Linked DNA regions of Arabidopsis thaliana. The protein of the gene in region 2 interacts with the protein of the main gene of each other region in a pairwise test. Each region holds a gene or a part of one and is shown on either strand. Other genes may lie near its edges.

Region 1 (7,223 bases), 340 kb from region 2:
CCACATCTGAATTCACAATTTGCCTCAAAACCGAATCTATCTTAACGACAAGACCTGCTTTGCTATACGCGTTAACAAGCGAACAATAAGTGATTGAGTTTGGTTTCACTCCTTGATACTTCATTTTCCTGAATACATCATCCATTTTCTCAATTCTTCCAGCTTTTCCAAACGTCTCAATCACTATATTGTAAGTGACAGTCGTCAGGGAGAAGAACCTTTTCTCCATAAAATCCATAACAGAGCACATCTTCTTATACATACCAGCTTTTCCAAATGACAGGATCAGTATGTTAAATGTAGTGATATCCGGTTGCACCCCCATCAGCTGGAACCGACTATACCAGCTCTCCATCTTCCTCATGTTGCGACCATTTCCATATGACCCAATGATCGAGTTAAGCGTACAAACATCCGGAAGAGAATCTCCGTCCTCGATCATATCAGCCAGAACACTTTCCATTTCCTCAAACATTCCAGCCTTTCCATACCCATCAATAATAGTATTGTAAGTAACCGTGCTGCATCCAACTCCAAGATACGACATCTCAAGAACGATACTTTTAACCAGATCAAACCGACCCAGTTTGCAGCAACAACTGATGAGAACAGTAAAGGTGAACACATCTGGCTTGCAGTCACTAACAGATTTCATATACTCAAGTGTAGAAAACGCCTTGTCTAGAAGCTCGCTTTTGCCATAAACAGAGATAAGAGAGGTATACACATCAATGGTTGGTTTCAATCCTTCAGATAACATAACTTCGAAAAGCAAGCTGGCTTGATCAGGCTGTTTACAATTCCCAAGCACTTTAAACAGCTTTGTATAAGTTTTGCATCTTGGTTCATACCAATGCTGCTTCCTAAGAAGATTGAAAATCTATAAAGTAGAGAAACAGGAAAGTGAATTCTATCGAATCTATGTCCAAGTATCTGTAAGAATGAAGAAGGATTAAAGAGCTGTACCTTGAGAGCAGACTGCCATCGATTCTCTTTGATAGCTTCGTCAAGAGCTTCTAGAACAGCTTTTGGCCATAAAGTTAAGTACTTTTCGGAATTGGCTTTCCTCTCAATGCCCTTCACAGCAGCATCTGTTCTCAGAATCCGAGACAATTCTTTCTTAGGATCTACTTGGTGTCTTGTTGAGATCAAACCAGAATTCATTTTCTCTGTACGTTCGTTGGGGACCTTTGTCGAACACATTGTGGGCGTTATTGAAATAGTTGGTATACACCGAAAATAAACAGGGGAAGATATATGTTGCTGAACCACGCTTCTGCAAGAATGAGAAACAGAGAAAGATAGATTTAATATAAACACAACTGAAGAATTAAAGAAACGTAAAATTCAAAACAGTATGATTGTATGAAATATGAGAATGTTACCGAGAAAAACCAAGTTGTGCGATCTCATTGGCGTACGCGGAAGTAGTTCCTTGAACAGGATTTTGTATCAATGCCATCGAAGAAAAATGGTAGAAAGATAAGGTGGAGAAAAAGAAACTGCAAATTTTCTGGGTAGAAAGCAGAGCTAGAAGACGACGACGATACCGTTGTTTTTCCTTCGTTTTTTTCTTCTTCTCCGGTTTGGTGTAGCTTCTCTTCGGTTTGTAAAATATAATGAAATGGTTTTAGTTTTGATTTGGATGCCGGTTTAATTTGGATTTACAAAATTAAAAATTTAGCATTAATCAGTTTTTTCTTGTCCGGTTTAAAGGATTGGATTGATGAAGGAAGAACCAAATGGAGCTTTTTCCAATTTAATTTTGAATTCGAATTTGTTAAAACGAGATTGTCCTTGGCAAGGAACCGGAATTTGGAAAATGAAAAACCAAGAACACAGTTGAAAGTTATCCACACTAGTTAGGACACGTGGAGGCTAATGTATTTCACGTGGACACGTGCTCATCACTCTCCTCTAAACGCCGTCGTGAAGTTTAAAGGTCAGAGACATCGGCCACCGACCAAATCAGACAAGGAAAAGTCAACGATTTGATTGGATCTTCTTCACTTATGCTTTAAAACCGTTCCTGTAATAAACTGTGAAGATTGTAAGAAGATTAACACGAATCAAGAACATCGAACTGTTGACTTTAGACAGAGAGAGACGGAGATGGAGTTTAGTGAGTTAAAGGAAGCAATAGAGAAGATAGAGCTCGTTGATGCTCACGCACACAACATTGTCTCTCTTGACTCATCTTTTCCGTTCATCGGAACTTTCTCCGAGGCTGCCGGCGACGCTTTAACCTTCGCTCCTCATTCTCTCTCCTTCAAGGTACACGACGATACCAAGTGTTTTTGCTCTAGTTAGTTTTCGTTTGAATCAGATTCTAATTAATGAAAACGTTAGCTTAAAGTTTCCTAATTAGTCTCAAAAGTATTAGTTAACTAAAGTTTCGAGTGTTACTCAAAAGATGTTGACTTGTTTAGGAATCTCGTGAAGTTGGTATGAATGTTTTTGGTTGTATGAATGAAACAGAGGAACTTGAGGGAGATTGCTCAACTTTATGGCACTGAAGTATCTTTAGAAGCGGTTGAGGAACATCGTAAAACCTCGGGTTTGGATTCTTTTACTTCCAAGTGTTTTAAAGAAGCTCGAATCTCTGCTCTCCTCATTGATGATGGATTAAAGCTAGACAAGAAACATGATATTGAATGGCATAGAAACTTTGTTCCATTCGTTGGTAGAGTGTTGCGTATCGAAACTCTTGCCGAGCAAATCCTCGAAGAGGAGTGTCCTGGTGGTTATTTCTATGGTTCTGAGAGTACTGAACCGCCTGTTTGGGATTTAGATTCTTTCACCAAAACCTTTGTTGAAAGATTAAATTCATATCCTTTTATCTTTGCTTTTTTAATACACGCTTAATGATTGTGACTATACTCACTAGTATTGGTTAACCTTGACTACTTCGGTCACGCTTGTTCCAGAGATTGTTGCTTTGAAAACTATTGCTGCATATCGTAGCGGTTTGGATATTGATACTTATGTGAGTAAAGAAGTTGCTGAGAATGGCCTTGTTGAAGTCTTGCGAGGTAAGATGGTTGTGCTTGGTCTATCAAGAAGTAACATAGTTGTTGTCTGATCACCTTAAAATCTAATATTGCTGCAGCTGGAAAGCCTGTCCGCATAGGAAACAAGGGCTTGATTGACTACATCCTTACCATTAGTTTGGAGGTCGCTGTGCGTCGCGACTTGCCCTTGCAGATTCACACCGGGTATGCAAGATTTGATCAACTATATGATTGATGTTAGTAAAGTCTGATCTTTTTATCAAACAAACCTTACACAGAAACAGAAACTCATGCTCAGAGGTTTGTAGTAATGAAAATTCTCCTTTTCTTTTGTTGTTTGAGCCAGTTTTGGTGACAAGGATTTGGATTTGAGGTTGTCGAATCCTCTTCACCTTAGAACCCTTCTTGAAGACAAAAGATTTGGAAAGTGTCGTATAGTTCTTCTTCATGCAGCTTATCCATTCTCAAAGGAAGCATCCTTTCTGTCTTCAGTTTATCCTCAGGTTTTTCGTCATCCCATTTCAATTATCTGTAAAATCATGCCTAGTCATTAACTTATTTTCTTGTTCCTTAAGGTTTACCTTGATTTCGGCTTGGCGGTTCCAAAGCTTAGTGTCCATGGTATGGTTTCTTCAGTTAAAGAGCTCCTTGACTTAGCATCAATAAAGAAGGTAAAATTTATTTTACTTGCATTATCTTTGTTATTGTTCATGAGTAACCATAAGATATTATTGCAGGTTATGTTCAGCACTGATGGGTATGCATCTCCTGAGACCTACTATTTAGGTTAGCTCAAGTTTCTACCTCTTTTCTATAGTTTGTAACATACTTATATATGTTCCAATCCTGTTTCTAAGCTTTGGCACTTGAAATCGTCTTGCTTCAGTCTTGAACATAGCTCGCTGTTTTTTGCAGGTGCAAAGAAAGCACGTGAGGTTATCTTCTTAGTTCTGAGTGATGCTTGTGCCAGTGGTGATCTCTCACTCATGGAAGCTATTGATGCAGCTAAAGACATATTCTCACGAAATTCTATTGGATTTTATAAGCTTAATATAGACACAGATTCTTCTAGTCCACAAAATATAATATCTCCCAAATTGAAGATAAAGGAGCCTGATGTTCAAGAAGATAGTAGTTCTTTTGTACGCATTATTTGGGTTGATACATCTGGACAACAAAGATGCCGTGTGAGTTTTTTTTTTTTGGTTTCTTCTAAAGAAAAAACCTCTGTTTCCCACCTCAACGATTTTTCCTTAGAAGCACAAAAACTTAACTAGAATTCTGTTTATTGTATTGTTTCAGGCTGTTCAAGCGCAGCGTTTTAACAGAAGTGTGAAGAAGAACGGCGTTGGTCTGACCTTTGCATCAATGGGGATGACTTCATTTACTGATGGACCAGCAGAAGAGTCTAAATTGACAGGTGTGGGTGAGATTAGACTTGTTCCAGATCTATCAACCAAGCAGACAATACCTTGGTACTTTACTCGTGTTCATTCTCTTTGGAGTTAATTTTACAGATGTTTCTTTCTTAATTGTTTCCGTATCATATTTTATCATTAGGACGAAGCAAGAGAGCATGGTTTTAGCTGATATGCAATTGAAGCCTGGTGAAGCATGGGGGTACTGTCCACGAGAGACCTTAAGAAGGGTCGCAAAAGTTCTCAAAGATGAATTTGACTTGGTAAGAAATCTCCATATAGCCATTCTACGAAAACTTTTATTTGCTTTTTGGTTGCTTAAGCTCAAATCTTCCTTGGCTTTTAGGTAATGAACGCTGGTTTTGAGAATGAGTTTTATCTCCTCAAGAACGTTGTGCGGTATGCGACTATATATTTCTTGAATACCGGTTTCTTTGTTCAATCCAATCATTTTCACAATCTTAACACTTGTTCTGTCCATTTTTTAAAAGGGAAGGGAAAGAAGAGTATATGCCTTTTGACTTTGGTCCTTACTGTGCCACATCCTCATTCGATGCTGCATCTCCGATCTTCCATGATATTGTACCCGCACTCGAGTCCTTGAACATCGAAGTTGAACAGGTTACAAATAATTCAAAAATCCCTCATAATGATCAGTCTGCAACATGCTTCTTGACATGTATGAAATTTTTTCATAGTTTCATGCTGAATCCGGGAAAGGTCAGTTTGAAGTATCTCTCGGTCACACCATTGCATCCCATGCTGCCGACAACTTGGTCTACACACGTGAAGTTATAAGATCGGTTGCAAGGAAACAGGGATTGCTCGCAACCTTTGTTCCAAAGTATGTCAGTCTCTCCCACCAAATTATTCGTTGTAACTGCAAATTTTTAACATATGTGTTTTTTCTTCAGGTATGATTATTGTGACATTGGTTCTGGATCACATGTGCATCTAAGTCTTTGGAAAAACGGCGAAAATGTCTTCCCGGCATCTAATAACTCATCTTCTCATGGAATCTCTTCCGTTGGAGAAGAGTTCATGGCCGGAGTTCTATTTCATCTTCCATCAATCTTAGCTATTATAGCTCCACTCCCAAACAGGTAACTCGAAAACCGTACTTTTCGAGTAATTTCCTCAATTGTTATTAAAAGTTGTGTGTGTCACTTAAATTTCCAGCTACGACCGAATCCAACCTAATACATGGAGTGGAGCATTCCAATGTTGGGGCAAAGAAAACCGCGAAGCAGCGTTAAGAGCAGCTTCTCCACCAGGAACTCCTGATGGTTTAGTTACTAACTTTGAGATAAAGTCTTTTGATGGCTCTGCAAATCCTCACCTTGGTTTGGCTGTTATAATGGCTGCTGGTATTGATGGTCTCCGGCGACATCTTCAACTTCCTACTCCAATAGGTAACTAAAAACTTATGTTATTCATTCTCATGTATATGTAGTGTTAATATGAAGCTTGATCTTGAGTTGTTCGGATGGAACAGATATAAATCCGGCGGATGTGGCTGCTACATTGAACAGACTTCCGGAAACGCTCTCAGAAGCTGTTGAAGCTCTGGACAAAGACAAAGTTCTCCACGATTTGCTCGGACAAAAGCTTTTAGTTGCCATAAAAGGAGTCCGTAAGGTAACACTATAGTCTTTTAGTTTCCCATTAGATTCTCAGTGGTAACAAAGTACATTAGCACTAATCTATTGTTTTTGTCTTTTTAAATTTTTTTGTGTAACAGGCTGAGGTCGAGTATTATTCGAAGAATCCGGATGCATATAAGCAACTCATTCACCGATACTAATCCTTTGAGCATCTCTATGATGATTGTTGGATCATTTGGTTTTATTGTGGACTTTGTGTCACATGAAGGGTCGTATTTGCAAAATACTTGACATAAAGATGTGGTTCAGAAAATTAATAAACTAAATTTCATATTTCGAGACGCATGCTCATGCTGGAGTACTATTTGTATTTCTTACTTTTTCGTCCCATGCTTTCAAAAGCCTCAAGAATATACAGAGTATTTTCAATAATACGGAGTAGTTCTTAATCATTTACATTTGTCTATGAATTGAATTTGACTACTAATACTCGGAAACAAAAAAATGATTGTAGTATTAGGAGCGCAAATACCCTTTAACCATTGTTCTTTCCATGTTCTTAGTCCGGCTATTGTTATCTAGGTAGGTGCCTGATCCCTTTTTTTCAAATCTTTCTTATTCATTACTTTGACTAATTAACCTATTTAATCATATTTAATCTCCCTTTAATCTGCAAACTAAAGCACATGTTTTTTTTTATGAAAGAAAAGGTTAGTATGACATTCTTTTGGTAAATCTCATCATATTATTTATTTAATTTTAAGAAATTGGAGTTTAAAGTGTAATTAAGTTATGCTACCTAGCTAATTTCCTTAAAATATGAACGATAAGTATAGAAATTAAAGTAAAGATTAGGTTTATACGGTACGCTTATTATGCTCAAACAAGTGGACGAACAAAATCCATCTCCATGTGACTATGGAAGAGAACTTATTAATAAGTCCAAATTTTTTTCTTGCAAACTTTATGATTTCATTCACACTAGACAAATTAATTGTTCGTAAGAAGGTATACGTACAACATAATGAGCTTTTACTGCTTCCCTTTGCAAACGAATCAGCTAAAACTTTACAGATTTATATGTTCAAGGGAAACTATAACTAAGATTTGAAGGAAAAATCTAACCTTTCTACTACAACAATAAAAGTCAATGCAAGGTCCTTTGAAAAGAATCTTGTTGTCGCATGCAT
Region 2 (4,207 bases):
TATGTTCTCTGTCTCTCTTTCTAAATAAGAGATCCTGATATTTGAAGCAACCAACATTCCTTTTTTTTTTTGTGTTCAGACGATCTTGAAGATTCCGGGTTTCACTGACAACGTTGTCACACATATTCTATCTGGACTGGGAGCAGGATTCTTTGCTGTCTGCATCGGCTCTCCTGTCGACGTGGTAAAGTATTTACTCATGACATTGAACCTTGAGTTTATTCACCACGTTTCCTGATTGTCTACTTAAATCTTGTTGTGTGGCAGGTTAAGTCAAGAATGATGGGAGATTCTGGTGCTTACAAGGGCACCATTGACTGCTTCGTCAAAACTCTGAAGAGCGACGTAAGCAACTCTGCTTCTGATACCTCCATTGTTCTAGATATAACCCAGAAAATGTTACAAACTCTTTACGGTTTCCTCTACAGGGTCCTATGGCATTTTACAAGGGTTTCATCCCCAACTTTGGACGCCTTGGCTCATGGAACGTAATCATGTTTTTGACCCTCGAACAGGTAACAACTGATAGAATTTTTATTTTATCGCAATCGCATTCGAATCGGTCACGCAAAGTCTTCTTTCTCATTTTCTAATCCGGGTTCTTAATACTCTAATCCAGGCAAAGAAGTATGTCCGGGAACTCGATGCGTCCAAAAGAAACTGAGACACATAGTTTTAAGCAGAGGGAATAAGAGCAACATTGTTTTCTTCTTCATTTTCGGTGATTGAGAGAGGCCAGAACTTGGTCGAATATTGTTTTCGGAATAGAGATTCAGTTTTCGAGTAAAACTGTGAAATAAAATTTCTGTGGATTGCTCATATATTGGCTGTACCATCCAACATTTATCAAAAATCATACATTTTTCTCCTTTCTTTCCACAAAACCGAGAAAAATCAGAAAAAGAAACTCCTGAAGAAGAAAGAGGTGACAGCATCTCAGCTCAGTTTCTTATTTTCCGGATTAGCCCATATCTCGAGTCTAAGGTAAAGCTCTCTAGTTTTGTTGCAGATAAACTCAATAGAGCCAACAATGTAATCCTCATATCTCTCATAGAAAGCTGGAACCGTCATAACCACCAAAACGCCTGCCAAATTAACCAAGAACAACCACAAAATGAATATCCAGCTCAAAAGCATTCCAAGTCTATAGGAGTTTTAGAATATCTACTTACTGGTGTGGCAAAGTGTCTGAAAATCCATGAGACTTCCGATCAATGAGAGAAGAAACAGTGACACTGCTACTTTGGTATACAACTCTGAGTCTCTTGCCATTGCAATGTCATGCGAAACTTGGAGTAGCTTGTTCACATGAATACGTAACCATATCGAAGCTTCTTCCGCCATCGCTTCACTTATTTGAAACTCCGGTAACGGCGGTGATGGCCTGAAGAGCCAAGAAATTGAATCAGAAATGAAGTAATATTAGTTACAAGTGAATATTAATATACCTGTTGAGAATGGAAGCAGATTTGGACCAGAGGAAGAGAATAGAGAGCAAGAGAAGAAGAACACTTGAAATAAGAGTAAAGATAGTGTAAGCAAATGCCTCAAACACCATCCATGAAGCTATTGTCACTGTAACTATACCAACACTCACATTCTTCTTCCTCCACAGCATCACATCTGCAACTGCAGATTCATTTCATAACAAGAAAAAAAAAAGGCTATAGAGGTGAGAGATCACCTAGCTTTTATAAGTTTTGGATTTGGTAAAGAAATGTATTCACTAACCAATGCCTCCTCCCAGAATCTCATGTATTGTCCTGTCTCTGTTGAACAACTTGTCCGAAGAAGAACTCATTTGAGAAGAAAGATCAGAGCAAACTTGGATTCAGATTTCCTCAGATGATCAGATCCCAAAAGTAACCCAGATATGTATATCTTTCTCTGAATGTCAGAAACAGATCATTATGTGAAAGGAAATCCTAAAGGCTCGAATCGAAGGAACCTGATGTATCACAAAGAAAGTAAAAATAAAAAGTGAAGAAGAGACTAAAGTTGGGTCATCACCATCATCATCAAAGCCATCAACTTTGAATATACAAATAATTAATTAATAATTCAAAGGCTATGCTCTGTTTAGGGAAAAAGAAGGTGTTTGTTGTCCTCTCGATGTTTTTATTTCCAGCCTAAAAGTGTTATCCTTCTTGTTTTTTTCAAACTGTAAAAGTTCGCCAGATTGTACTTAGAGATGAATCAAATTTTACACCATCCTTTTATATTTTCCATAGAACACATTTAAATTGGTCATTCATCTACTTTTAGTCAACTGAAGTAATTTATGTACCCTTTTCAGATGTAGTTTCCTATGAATTCGAAAAGGTCGAATCTTTATCCTCAATTTAAGATTGTCAGAAGAATTTAATATGGTAAAAAAATCAAACAAAAACAATTCCACAAACCATTTATTATCCTCTGTTTTCTATCTTTCGATGTAAGCTTTTTTCTTTCTCTGTTCTGTATGTAAAATTGTTGATAACTCTTGATAACAAACCAAAACAAAGAAACAAAAGTGAATATCCCACCACCTCCATCAATAACACTTGTTCTCTATTTTCTCTGCTACTTTTGTTTCTCAGTTTCCTTTTCAGAAGTGCCCACAGCTCCGAGATTGGCCTCAGCAGCAGAAGCATCAAGCAAACTTGCTGCAATTGCTGCCTTCAAGTCATCATCTTCCATCTCTGAAAAAGCCTGCACTTCCTCACGTGACAATGCCTGATTCCGTCTTTGTTGATTAACATTGTCATTACTTCTCTTGTTTCTGGCAGAAGAACCTGAGCTCGTGTTCTTTCTTATTCTCTCTGCGTCTTCAGGAGAAAGCCACTGCCCGAAACTATTGGAAGCTTCAGAAGAAGACGACATGGGACATTCCTGAGGGAAGTTTCCTTTCACTATGAAGATACTCCATCCTGCGCCTTTGAGAGAGTCTAAGAACGCAGAAAGGTAGAACTTCGATAAATGTTGCGGGGCAGCAAGGAGACTATCAAAGTTATACCATTCGCCATTCACTTTCCTTATACAAAACCAATGGTCATGCAAGTGGCAGATAAAGGCGCTTTCAAGCTCAGGGTCTATCTGCGCAGGCTCTGCATCTGGACAATTGAGTGGAATTACTTGTAGATCCCACACTTCCAAAGCTTTTTGCAAGACCTGTCAATCAAACAGAAGCATTCTCAGTTAAACGAATAAGCAAAGACTAGATCAACTTTGCAAGATTAAAATGCTACACCAATCGCATAAACCCTCTGTTTGCAGTGTTTTATCCGCATCCAACTTCAACGTAATCCGTTAAAATAGCTTTAATTTTAGATATCTAAAAATGTGATGTAAAACACCATACTATACCCTTGAATCTCAATACATAAATCTTGCAATCAAACCTGACTTTTGTAGCAACCTAATCAAATATCAAGTTATCAACCAACTCGGTTTAAAGCTATCCAAGAAACAAAAGATGATAATTGAATATACAGAACCTCACTAATAACTAACATATCCAAAACAATTGAGTCCCAAGATAAAAAAAATCATCTCAAGTTCCTCCATTTATCAGCATAGCAATGTTCGCACAATGAAACTAGCCTTCAACAAATGAGTTTTAACCCAAAGTAAAGATCGCAAATTCACACCATTACTGATCTCAATTCTTCTTGAATCTATCTAAAAACGAATCCAACCATTCAAAAGTTTATCACTTCAGCATAAACACAGCAATCAAAAGCACCATAAAATCGAAACCCTAATTTTGCCTAAACTTCCAACAACACAATAACAAAAAGGCTTTACAATATATAAATGTTGAATGCAACTCAAGATTTATCAATTTCATCGCGAATTCGTACCTGGATACTAAAATCGCCGCCGAGGGAAACATTGTGCGACTCTTCAGCTAAGAAATCGCCGGGAGCAAAACCTCCAACGGCAGCACCTTCAAGCATAACCTGACGCTCCTTCCCGTCTAGATCGGCGGCGACGGCAGCCAAATCGAATTCAGAGAAGAAAGGCCCTTGCAACACCGTGTTGACGCAGTGTACGGCGCACAGATTTGACTCTTGAACCTCGTGATACAACATTCCTCCGTTGCTTGTTCGTTCCATCGCCGATTAAGATTTGAATATCAAAATTCACTGATTTTGCGATGAATATATTATTATTGCTCCGATGCAAAAGTCTCAAAGAGATTGTGAAGCGAAGATGAAGATGAAGA
Region 3 (3,965 bases), on a different chromosome or scaffold from region 2:
GAAGGAATGTGTGAATCAAGTCCTTAAAGCTGCAATGGCGATAAACGCTCAAGTTCTGTCTGAAATGGAGATTCCTGAAAGCTACCTTGAGTCACTTCCTAAGGTTATTTAATAAACACATAAAAACATTCATCAAGAATCTGTTATTGATCTAGTCCTTATCGATGTTTTCGTGTGTTGTTGAGAACAGAATGGGAGAGCTAGCTTGGGAGATGTGATATACAGAATGATAACAGTAGAGATGTTTGATGCAGATCAATTCCTAATTGAAATGGATTTATCATCTGAGCACAAGATTCTTGATCTAAAGAACAGAATCGAAGCATCGATTGTGATATGGAAGAGGAAAATGGTGCAGAAGGACACAAAGTCTCCTTGGGGATCAACAGTGAGTATTGAGAAAAGAGAACAGTTTGAAGAAAGAGCTGAAACCATCTTGCTACTATTAAAACAAGGGTTTCCCGGAATCTCACAGTCCTCGCTCGATATCAGCAAGATTCAATTCAACAGAGTAATTTAAAACTCTTAACTTCCAAATACATTTTGATTGTGTTTTCTCTATGGTCATGAGAAAATCTCATTATTGGATAATTGTTGTTGCAGGATGTAGGACTTGCGATATTGGAGAGTTATTCAAGAGTGCTTGAGAGTTTAGCTCACACCGTGATGTCGAGAATAGAAGACGTGCTTTACGCTGATCAGCTTACTCAAGAACCTACAAATAATGCACCTTCTAAGAACAGATATAGCTTGAAGGAGAATGAGAAACTAAGAGAGGAAAGACTAAGTTTCACAGAGGATATGGCTTCAGGAACACTTTCTGATGTTATGCAATGGGGTAACAAAAACAATGAAATGAAGAAAGAAAGCTTTTTCGGAGATAGAGAGAAACCGTTGTTGTCGAAAGTCACAGGTATAATGACTAACAACAAGAAGAGTTCTTATCTTGATAATCTTGGAGCTATGAGGAGTCCAACCGCAAGATACTCCTGAGAGAAACCGGTTTCTTTTTTCCGTTCTTGTTAAATTAGGGCTTCTTACTGCATTTTCAATCTGCTTAAAGATTCCACAAAATGCACCATTGTGTGTTGTAGCAGACTTGAAATGCAATTTCATTGATTCATCATAACTGATTTTCAGAATCACTAGCTTACAAAGCAATTAACACAACACAGTACAATATACATAAATAGGGTTCATAGAATTGGGGAGAAAGTTTCTGACTTTTTGAAAGATTTTAGAAAGCTAATTTAAAGCTTGCCGCGAGGACCGAGCTTAGGTGGCTCTTGAGGACCTCTCTTAATCGGAAGAACATCGCCGGTAGAGTTCGCACTAACATATGTAAGCAAAGAGCCTCCTCCAAGAATCAAAAATTTGAGAAGCAAACCTCTCTTTGTGAAAGGAGCAGCAAATGTCTCAAAGAACTTGCTCTGCAAGCAACATAATCACAAAGTCTTAGAATTTGAAGAAGCATATAGATCTAAAGATTTAAGAGTGTACAAAAACCTGAAGTGGGTTATAAGGAGAAGGAGCATCAGATCCATACACATCCCATTGTCCTGTTGTGTTACCCAAATCTTCTAAATCAAAGTATACACTTTTGTCTCCATACTTAGCCACCACAGCACCAGCTCTACACAAACAATCAAAAGTAACATCCTTTCTTTAATACCAATCCTCATCAATGTCAATCCAAGATTCCAAATTTCAAAGCTTTAAACTTTACCTGGTGGATTTGGTTTTGAAGCTTTGGCGAGAAGGTTTGATGAAGAGCTTAGCTCCGGCAAGAGAGCTACCTCCAAGTCCTTTCACGGCGGCAGAAGGTTGTACGGCGGCGATGGTTGCAAAAGACGCCATGTTAATTTCTCTCTTTGTTGTTGTTTGTTTGTTGCCAAAGTAAGTGAGTGGATTGATGTAATTTGTATAGTGGAGAATCTTCTTCACTCATTTGATAGATCTTGTTCTGCCACGTGGCGAATTGGGTTGTCATCTTTGAGATTTGATATGCCACTTAGGAAATGCCACGTGGATTATAAAAAGATAAGGCTATCTCTAATCCATAACCAAAAATTTCTTCGTCTCTGTCTCCAAAATCGAATCAAAATCTCTAAAGTTTCAATTTTTTTGTTCTGTTCTTTTTATTTTTTTAAAGAATGGCTTCAATTTCTGCAACTTTGCCTTCGCCATTGTTACTCACACAGAGAAAATCCAATCTCACATCGATTCAAAAACTCCCATTTTCTCTAACTCGAGGTACGAATGATCTTTCTCCATTATCTCTTACTCGAAACCCTAGCAGCATCAGTCTGATGGTGAAAGCTAGTGGAGAAAGCTCAGATTCATCGACTGATCTCGACGTTGTTAGTACGATTCAGAATGTTGTGAGTCCCTAAATCTCTATAAACCCTACATTAGACTCTGTTCTCAGTTACATATATGCCTTAGTTTTGATTTGGACATTTTTTAAATTTGTAAATTATTGCAGTGGGATAAGTCTGAAGATAGGTTAGGTCTTATTGGTTTGGGTTTTGCTGGTATTGTAGCTCTTTGGGCATCATTGAATCTCATCACGGTATAGTAATGAAAAGACTCAAAACTTTTATCTTTTGTTGTGCTTAATTTTGTGAGACTTGATGACAAAGACTTGTTCTTTTTCTTCGTTAGGCAATCGACAAATTGCCCGTTATCTCGAGCGGATTCGAACTAGTTGGTATCTTGTTCTCCACGGTAAGTAATAAGGCTTGGTATCATCTCAATAAGTATAAATGTTATGATCCTTGATTCTTCTAGCATTTGATATCTCCATTTCTGCAGTGGTTCACATATCGATATCTCTTGTTCAAACCGGACAGGTAATTTTTTTTTCTTTAAATGCGGTTATGAAATCGAATGCTGGTGTTTTTGTTTAACCTAAGTCTTTGTTTATTTTTTCAGACAGGAGCTTTCGAAAATTGTCAAGAAATCAGTAGCGGATATACTTGGCCAGTGAACCTTGTGTGTGTGATAATACTTCATCTTTGGAAGATGATTTGTTTGCAAGTTTGTAAAATTACATGACAGGGTGGTTGTTGTTTCTAGTCCAATAATGTCATGCATTTGAAACCTGTAAATACTTTATTGTTGGTTTTTGGTTGTGAGCAAAATCAATCTTTTCTAATTTCAAAGATTCTCTTTTATGATTATACGTTTTAAATCAGGGTTTCAATTTTATTGTTTCCGCATATCAAAAGCCATAATTTTTCAAGTTCAGAGCTTCAACAAATTTGTTATTTCTCAAATCCAAAAGCCCTTTTTCTATTTCACGATTCTGGCTTTTGTTTTGTTTTCAGTTTTCTGGTACATAAACCCTAAAATCAATGATTAAGGTTCTTTTATAAATCTTGTTTGCATAAACTATGGTTCTTGCTGGACTGGAACGTAACAGCTTGATAAAACTATTCAATCTTCTGCATGATGATGGGAATAATTAGAGCACCAACCAAAAGAAATAACTAGGTGTCACCTTAGCAGAACCAAACAAGCTCTCCCTCCATAAATTAGTATTTGCGGCAACCATAATTAGGTCCCTGGTACTCTCAAGCTGCGAAGAATTTTCCTTCAGACTTGGAGAAGCCACATCTCCTGTGTGCATGTCTTTCTTCTCACTAATAGGTTCAATATTCTTTTCCATCACCTACAATTTAAGAAGGCCACATTTAAAACAGACATGGAGGATAGGGAAAACAGTTGAAACCAATAAGTATCATATGCACTCTGAATTCGAGACATTAGGTGAGGTTTCAGAACTAAACATTTGGATTCACAAATCACAATTAGTCCTTGGCTTTAAATAATAACCCTAAAAAGAGAGGAATCATTCATCAAGAAGAAGAAGAAGAAGAAGAAGAAGAAGAAGAAGAAGAAGAAGTAATGTTTTTAAGATGATCTATAGATATATGCTATAGGGCTGTTGTATTTGTCTTCAG
Region 4 (4,428 bases), on a different chromosome or scaffold from region 2:
AAGAAGACAAAAACTTAATATGAGTGAAGAAGGTCGTTATGTATAACTAACTTACTCTGTTTTTGTAGGTTTTCTTGTACAGAGTCTGTTTTAGTAGCATCCCCTGTTTTGCCTTTGGCGGCAATTTTGCTTCTTTTTTCTTTTGGGGGCGCATGATCGGCTTTTGTATGGCATTTTCTTGAAATCCTTTTTGGTGATTCTTAAGTATGAATTGTAGTAAGTATGTGGAATGGATCAATCTTGAATCTTCTCTTCAGTTTTTACTCTCCCCTGTTTTCTCTTACTTGTTGGAATGATTCTTGATCTCGCTGAGTGAAGAGTGGAGACATGGGATGAAATGTCTTTACTCTTACGTCATCTTGACAGCCAAAACTCATCTGTACTACGTATGCAATAACATCGATAAACAAACTGAGTCCAGCTAATCATCTTGTTGTTGTCTCAAGTATGGTCTGCCACTACTTCATCTTATTATATGTCACAATACATTCACATTTGTTCGGACGCGTTTACGAAACCTGACTGGAATTTTGGTTATCCACTGCTTGGAATCTAACTTAGCTATTGCATTTCACTGCAAAGGATTTATGTTTAATGATTTAGCTTAAAAGGATTTGTGGAAAGCTCATTATTCAAACAAACAAAACTTACATGAGGATTATTGATCAAGTACATATATACCGTGATCTACATTGCTAATGTACAACATGTGTTACAAAGGAATGAGTTTTTCATCTCTCATCACATCAATCCAATACAAAACCGAATCTAGGGTTCTATATTTCCTCTTAAACCCAAACCTATCTACTTTTTCTCTTTTCCCAAGAAGCTTAAACGGACATCTAAACAGAGCATCCAAGAAATACCAATTCGCCAAATCCTCAATCTCTGTCCTAACAAGCTTCTCCTTCACAACAATCTCATCCCACACATGTTTTCTCTCAACCATCTCTCTCCCAAACCAGAAACCTTCATCAAACATGGTTGTTTCGTTAACTTGTACACCAAGTTTCTTCCCTATTTCCGGCCAAATCTCCTTCCAAGTAAACCCTACTCCATTAATGGCGTTAAAAGCTTCCCCTTTCTCGCGTACTTTCCCACTTGTTGCAGCGAATATATGCTGCTCCGCGACTAAATTCGAATCAGAGCCATCTATGTAACTCTCTTCCCAACATTCTCTTGTTCCTCCAAACACAAAAGGAAGATTCAAATACTTACACATCGCTCCATAAACACAAAGACTTCCCATGAAGTTGTACAGAGTTCTTGAAGAGCTTCCCATTAGCAAACCAGGTCTTTGAACCGACCAAACAACGGAACTACGAGTGATCTTCTCCTTCAGCAAGTCCTCCAAAACATAGTAGAAATTCTTCCCAGAGCTCTTTCTTGGACACTCCTCGCTGTAATAATACAAACTCGAACCTTCTCCACGAGCCATTGTCTCTTCCACCAAAGACACATAATGCTTCATCCCCGTTTGAAGCGAGAAATGCTTTAACCTCTTAGCGTTTGGGAGAATCGCGTCCAAAGCGTTCATCAGCATCGTCTTGTTCTGTACGCAACATTCGTCGGTATCCAATGGAAACTCACCAGACCACGTGACCCAAAACACGTGACTCACGATGTCTTGTAATGGAGACAACCTCTGTTTAGTCTCAGATGCGTTAAGCAGATCGCAGGAGATGAAGTTGTACATCTTCGTCATGGAATTGATCTCCGGGTTACGCGCTACGCCGTAGATTCTCCATCCTGGTTTAGACATTAATAGCGTCTTAACAATCTCTCGACCCACAAGCCCGGTGACGCCAAAGATTAACGCTACATTCTCGTCTACTTCGTTTCTTCTCATCAAGCTGCCATTTTCAGACCCCATTGTGATTATTAGTGAGTTATGGACTTTGATCAAAGCTTCATATAAACGCTTAGAGTAAAGACAAAAAAAGTTTGTGGGACTGATTCAACGTGTTTTAGGATAGTTTCAAGACTCGATGCTTACCTGTTTTAAAGGCTATGATAAATTATCCAAAGCAAGTTGCTTTGAACACAGCTACGATGTAGCATAACGAAGCAACATTTGTTTAAGATAAAATAGACTAAAGTCAAACAGTGTTTTGGGTTTCATGTTAACGTGTTTATCAATTTAATTTGTGGTTCTGGAATGTGTTACGAAAGCAACAGTTGTTACAATAGTTTTTTAAGGAACCGTCGTGTACAGCATTTTGTCCGGTTCTCAATCGGACGGTCAAGATTTTGCGAGAGGCAGAGTCTGGCCCGTGGTTGCTGGCCGGCTTTTAAAATTATAGTACACTTCAAGTGGGTCTCTACTCTAATAGTATTCATTTTAGTTAACAGTCTCACCGGTCAAAACCGAATATTAGCCGACAACTTATTCAATGAACTAGTTATATATACACTCGTGAGTCGTGATGATTGTTTTTTCATAACTAGAACTCATGTACCCGAAACCAAACCGATTTGAGATCTAACTGTCGTTCGATTCATGCAGTGGCCAAACATGTATCATATCGAATTTCATCAAATGAAACAAGTTGACCAATGGAATTGAGAAAGTAAGTTTTTGGATTAGCGAAATGGAAGACCATAATTTACATTATCAAACAACTTTTTGATTGATCAAAATTATTCTTCTGTTATAAGTCAAAGTCTTTGATCACGTATAACGTTTTAATATGAGAAAATTGAATAACTACCCTGTCTACGTTGAAGAAACTGAAAGGGGGAAATGGGTACAGTGTATCTCTTGTCCCAAAGGACATTGAAAAGCTAAAAAACTAACACACTTGGCTACGTTTAAGGCTTTAAAATGGACCATGTTTTGTGGTAGACCTACACATTACTCTTCTTTCAATTTTGTTTTCCTCCGTATTCTATGCATTGAATAGACCCACTTCTCATCTTTAAATTTTCTGTGGAATTGTGAAAGAGTGTTCTACTTTGGCGACAACAAAAAAATGTTTCTTGGAACTTGGAAGAACTTCAATAAAACGGCATGGAGTTTTGACTTCCAAGTTAGAAACGGAGTGTACCTCAAGAAAAGGGATCTAAGCGTAAATAACTAAAACTAAGAACCCTAAAAGAAAATACATGATTATGAAAGGACTGAATCATAAATGCCTGTCCTCCAATGTTGAGACGAATTGAAAAGGAACCAGAACAACTACTATCAACGGTGATCGATTTCGCCGGGAACGGAGAAGAAAACCCTAGATATGGCGGAGAAGCTTGCGCCAGAGAAGAGACACGATTTCATTCACAATGGTTTCTCGCTTTCTCTATCCCCTCGCTCTATTTCTCTAATTTCAGCTGATTCCATTTCACGAGATTTGGTTTGAATGTTCTTCGATTTCCGATGGTTATAGGTCAAAAGGTATTTGAGTGGGATCAAACCCTGGAAGAAGTGAACATGTACATAACTTTGCCGCCAAATGTTCATCCAAAGTCATTCCACTGCAAAATCCAGTCGAAACATATCGAAGTTGGCATCAAAGGCAACCCTCCCTATCTCAATGTCAGTTTCTTTCGCTATCTTTCAATGTTTTTGATCCGTTTGTCTCATAAATCTGAGTTATTCGATGTGGTATATATAACTCGATTCAATTGTCTAAATTTTGTCAATTTTCAGCACGATCTTAGTGCTCCTGTGAAGACTGATTGCTCGTTCTGGACTCTAGGTACTCCATTTTTTGTTTTTGTGTCTGTATTGGGTGCTTGTTTTTGATGGTTAGGTTTCTGTTTTTAGACCCGTTCACTATTGCTAGAGAGGATAAACTGAACCTGGAAATGTGATCTGAGTTTGGTATAAATAGTGGGACATATAGTTTGGAATGTGGAAAATTTGAGACTAATGGAGGGATGATGGAATGTACAGTATATTTTGGGTTATATTATCAGCGTATGTAAGTTACTGGCATAGTTTTTTTAGGTTCATAGTCTGGCACTGATTGCTAATCTGGATTGTTATGTTTGATTTGGCAGAGGATGATATAATGCACATTACCCTGCAGAAGAGGGAGAAAGGGCAAACATGGGCATCACCGATTCTGGGACAGGGTCAGTTAGATCCTTACGCCACTGATCTTGAGCAGAAGCGGCTCATGCTCCAGAGGTTTCAAGAAGAGGTTAGCTACCTGTAAAAGTCCTCTTGGTTTCATATGGTTTCTGCTTTTGAAAAAATAAATGTTGTTTTCTAGGTCTTCTAATTGATCTCCAAAGCAAATCTTAGGCACCACTACTGAGTAGAATGAATCTATGTCAAAGTATGATTACTTTGCCATAAATGATCGTTTTGGATGAGTCATGTCCCATGATTGTTTTCTTTGTTCAAGCTCTCTTATTTTGTTTCTTATGTCTCTCTCAAGTAGTGAATCTTTTGTGTTCATGGATAAACAGTCTGCATAGAGCTGGTGA

The links.
Region 1: the proteins of AT3G54120 (region 2) and NodGS interact in a two-hybrid assay, tested with the Arabidopsis thaliana proteins (one large-scale study listed by BioGRID).
Region 3: the proteins of AT3G54120 (region 2) and AT1G52220 interact in a two-hybrid assay, tested with the Arabidopsis thaliana proteins (one large-scale study listed by BioGRID).
Region 4: the proteins of AT3G54120 (region 2) and AT5G58750 interact in a two-hybrid assay, tested with the Arabidopsis thaliana proteins (one large-scale study listed by BioGRID).

What each region holds. Positions count from the first base shown.
Region 1 is NC_003074.8:19,704,956-19,712,178, forward strand, and holds NodGS (nodulin/glutamine synthase-like protein), read left to right. Parts: upstream 1-1,864; 5' UTR 1,865-2,112; coding exon 2,113-2,274; intron 2,275-2,478; coding exon 2,479-2,828; intron 2,829-2,916; coding exon 2,917-3,032; intron 3,033-3,109; coding exon 3,110-3,215; intron 3,216-3,357; coding exon 3,358-3,514; intron 3,515-3,586; coding exon 3,587-3,682; intron 3,683-3,748; coding exon 3,749-3,797; intron 3,798-3,926; coding exon 3,927-4,198; intron 4,199-4,313; coding exon 4,314-4,486; intron 4,487-4,571; coding exon 4,572-4,692; intron 4,693-4,775; coding exon 4,776-4,828; intron 4,829-4,920; coding exon 4,921-5,050; intron 5,051-5,127; coding exon 5,128-5,273; intron 5,274-5,343; coding exon 5,344-5,532; intron 5,533-5,608; coding exon 5,609-5,841; intron 5,842-5,924; coding exon 5,925-6,067; intron 6,068-6,170; coding exon 6,171-6,233; 3' UTR 6,234-6,505; downstream 6,506-7,223. Other genes in the region: AT3G53170 (LOW protein: PPR containing protein), read right to left, coding at 1-880, 967-1,276, 1,386-1,462.
Region 2 is NC_003074.8:20,040,333-20,044,539, forward strand, and holds AT3G54120 (Reticulon family protein), read right to left. Parts: upstream 2,009-4,207; 5' UTR 1,802-2,008; coding exon 1,732-1,801; intron 1,630-1,731; coding exon 1,449-1,629; intron 1,385-1,448; coding exon 1,173-1,384; intron 1,086-1,172; coding exon 937-1,085; 3' UTR 794-936; downstream 1-793. Other genes in the region: PUMP1 (plant uncoupling mitochondrial protein 1), read left to right, coding at 80-184, 268-345, 429-515, 620-664; AT3G54130 (Josephin family protein), read right to left, coding at 2,563-3,150, 3,843-4,097.
Region 3 is NC_003070.9:19,452,794-19,456,758, reverse strand, and holds AT1G52220 (CURVATURE THYLAKOID protein), read left to right. Parts: upstream 1-1,993; 5' UTR 1,994-2,153; coding exon 2,154-2,381; intron 2,382-2,485; coding exon 2,486-2,572; intron 2,573-2,664; coding exon 2,665-2,727; coding exon of another isoform or gene 2,728-2,781; exon of another isoform or gene 2,782-2,814; coding exon 2,815-2,852; intron 2,853-2,934; coding exon 2,935-2,989; 3' UTR 2,990-3,279; downstream 3,280-3,965. Other genes in the region: ROPGEF11 (rop guanine nucleotide exchange factor-like protein), read left to right, coding at 1-103, 191-511, 604-993; PSAH2 (photosystem I subunit H2), read right to left, coding at 1,251-1,430, 1,507-1,633, 1,727-1,857. UniProt on the Arabidopsis thaliana protein: Determines thylakoid architecture by inducing membrane curvature.
Region 4 is NC_003076.8:23,726,331-23,730,758, reverse strand, and holds AT5G58750 (NAD(P)-binding Rossmann-fold superfamily protein), read right to left. Parts: upstream 2,172-4,428; 5' UTR 1,874-2,171; coding exon 713-1,873; 3' UTR 617-712; downstream 1-616. Other genes in the region: DDB2 (damaged DNA binding 2), read left to right, coding at 1-18; AT5G58740 (HSP20-like chaperones superfamily protein), read left to right, coding at 3,231-3,279, 3,381-3,529, 3,644-3,692, 3,997-4,139.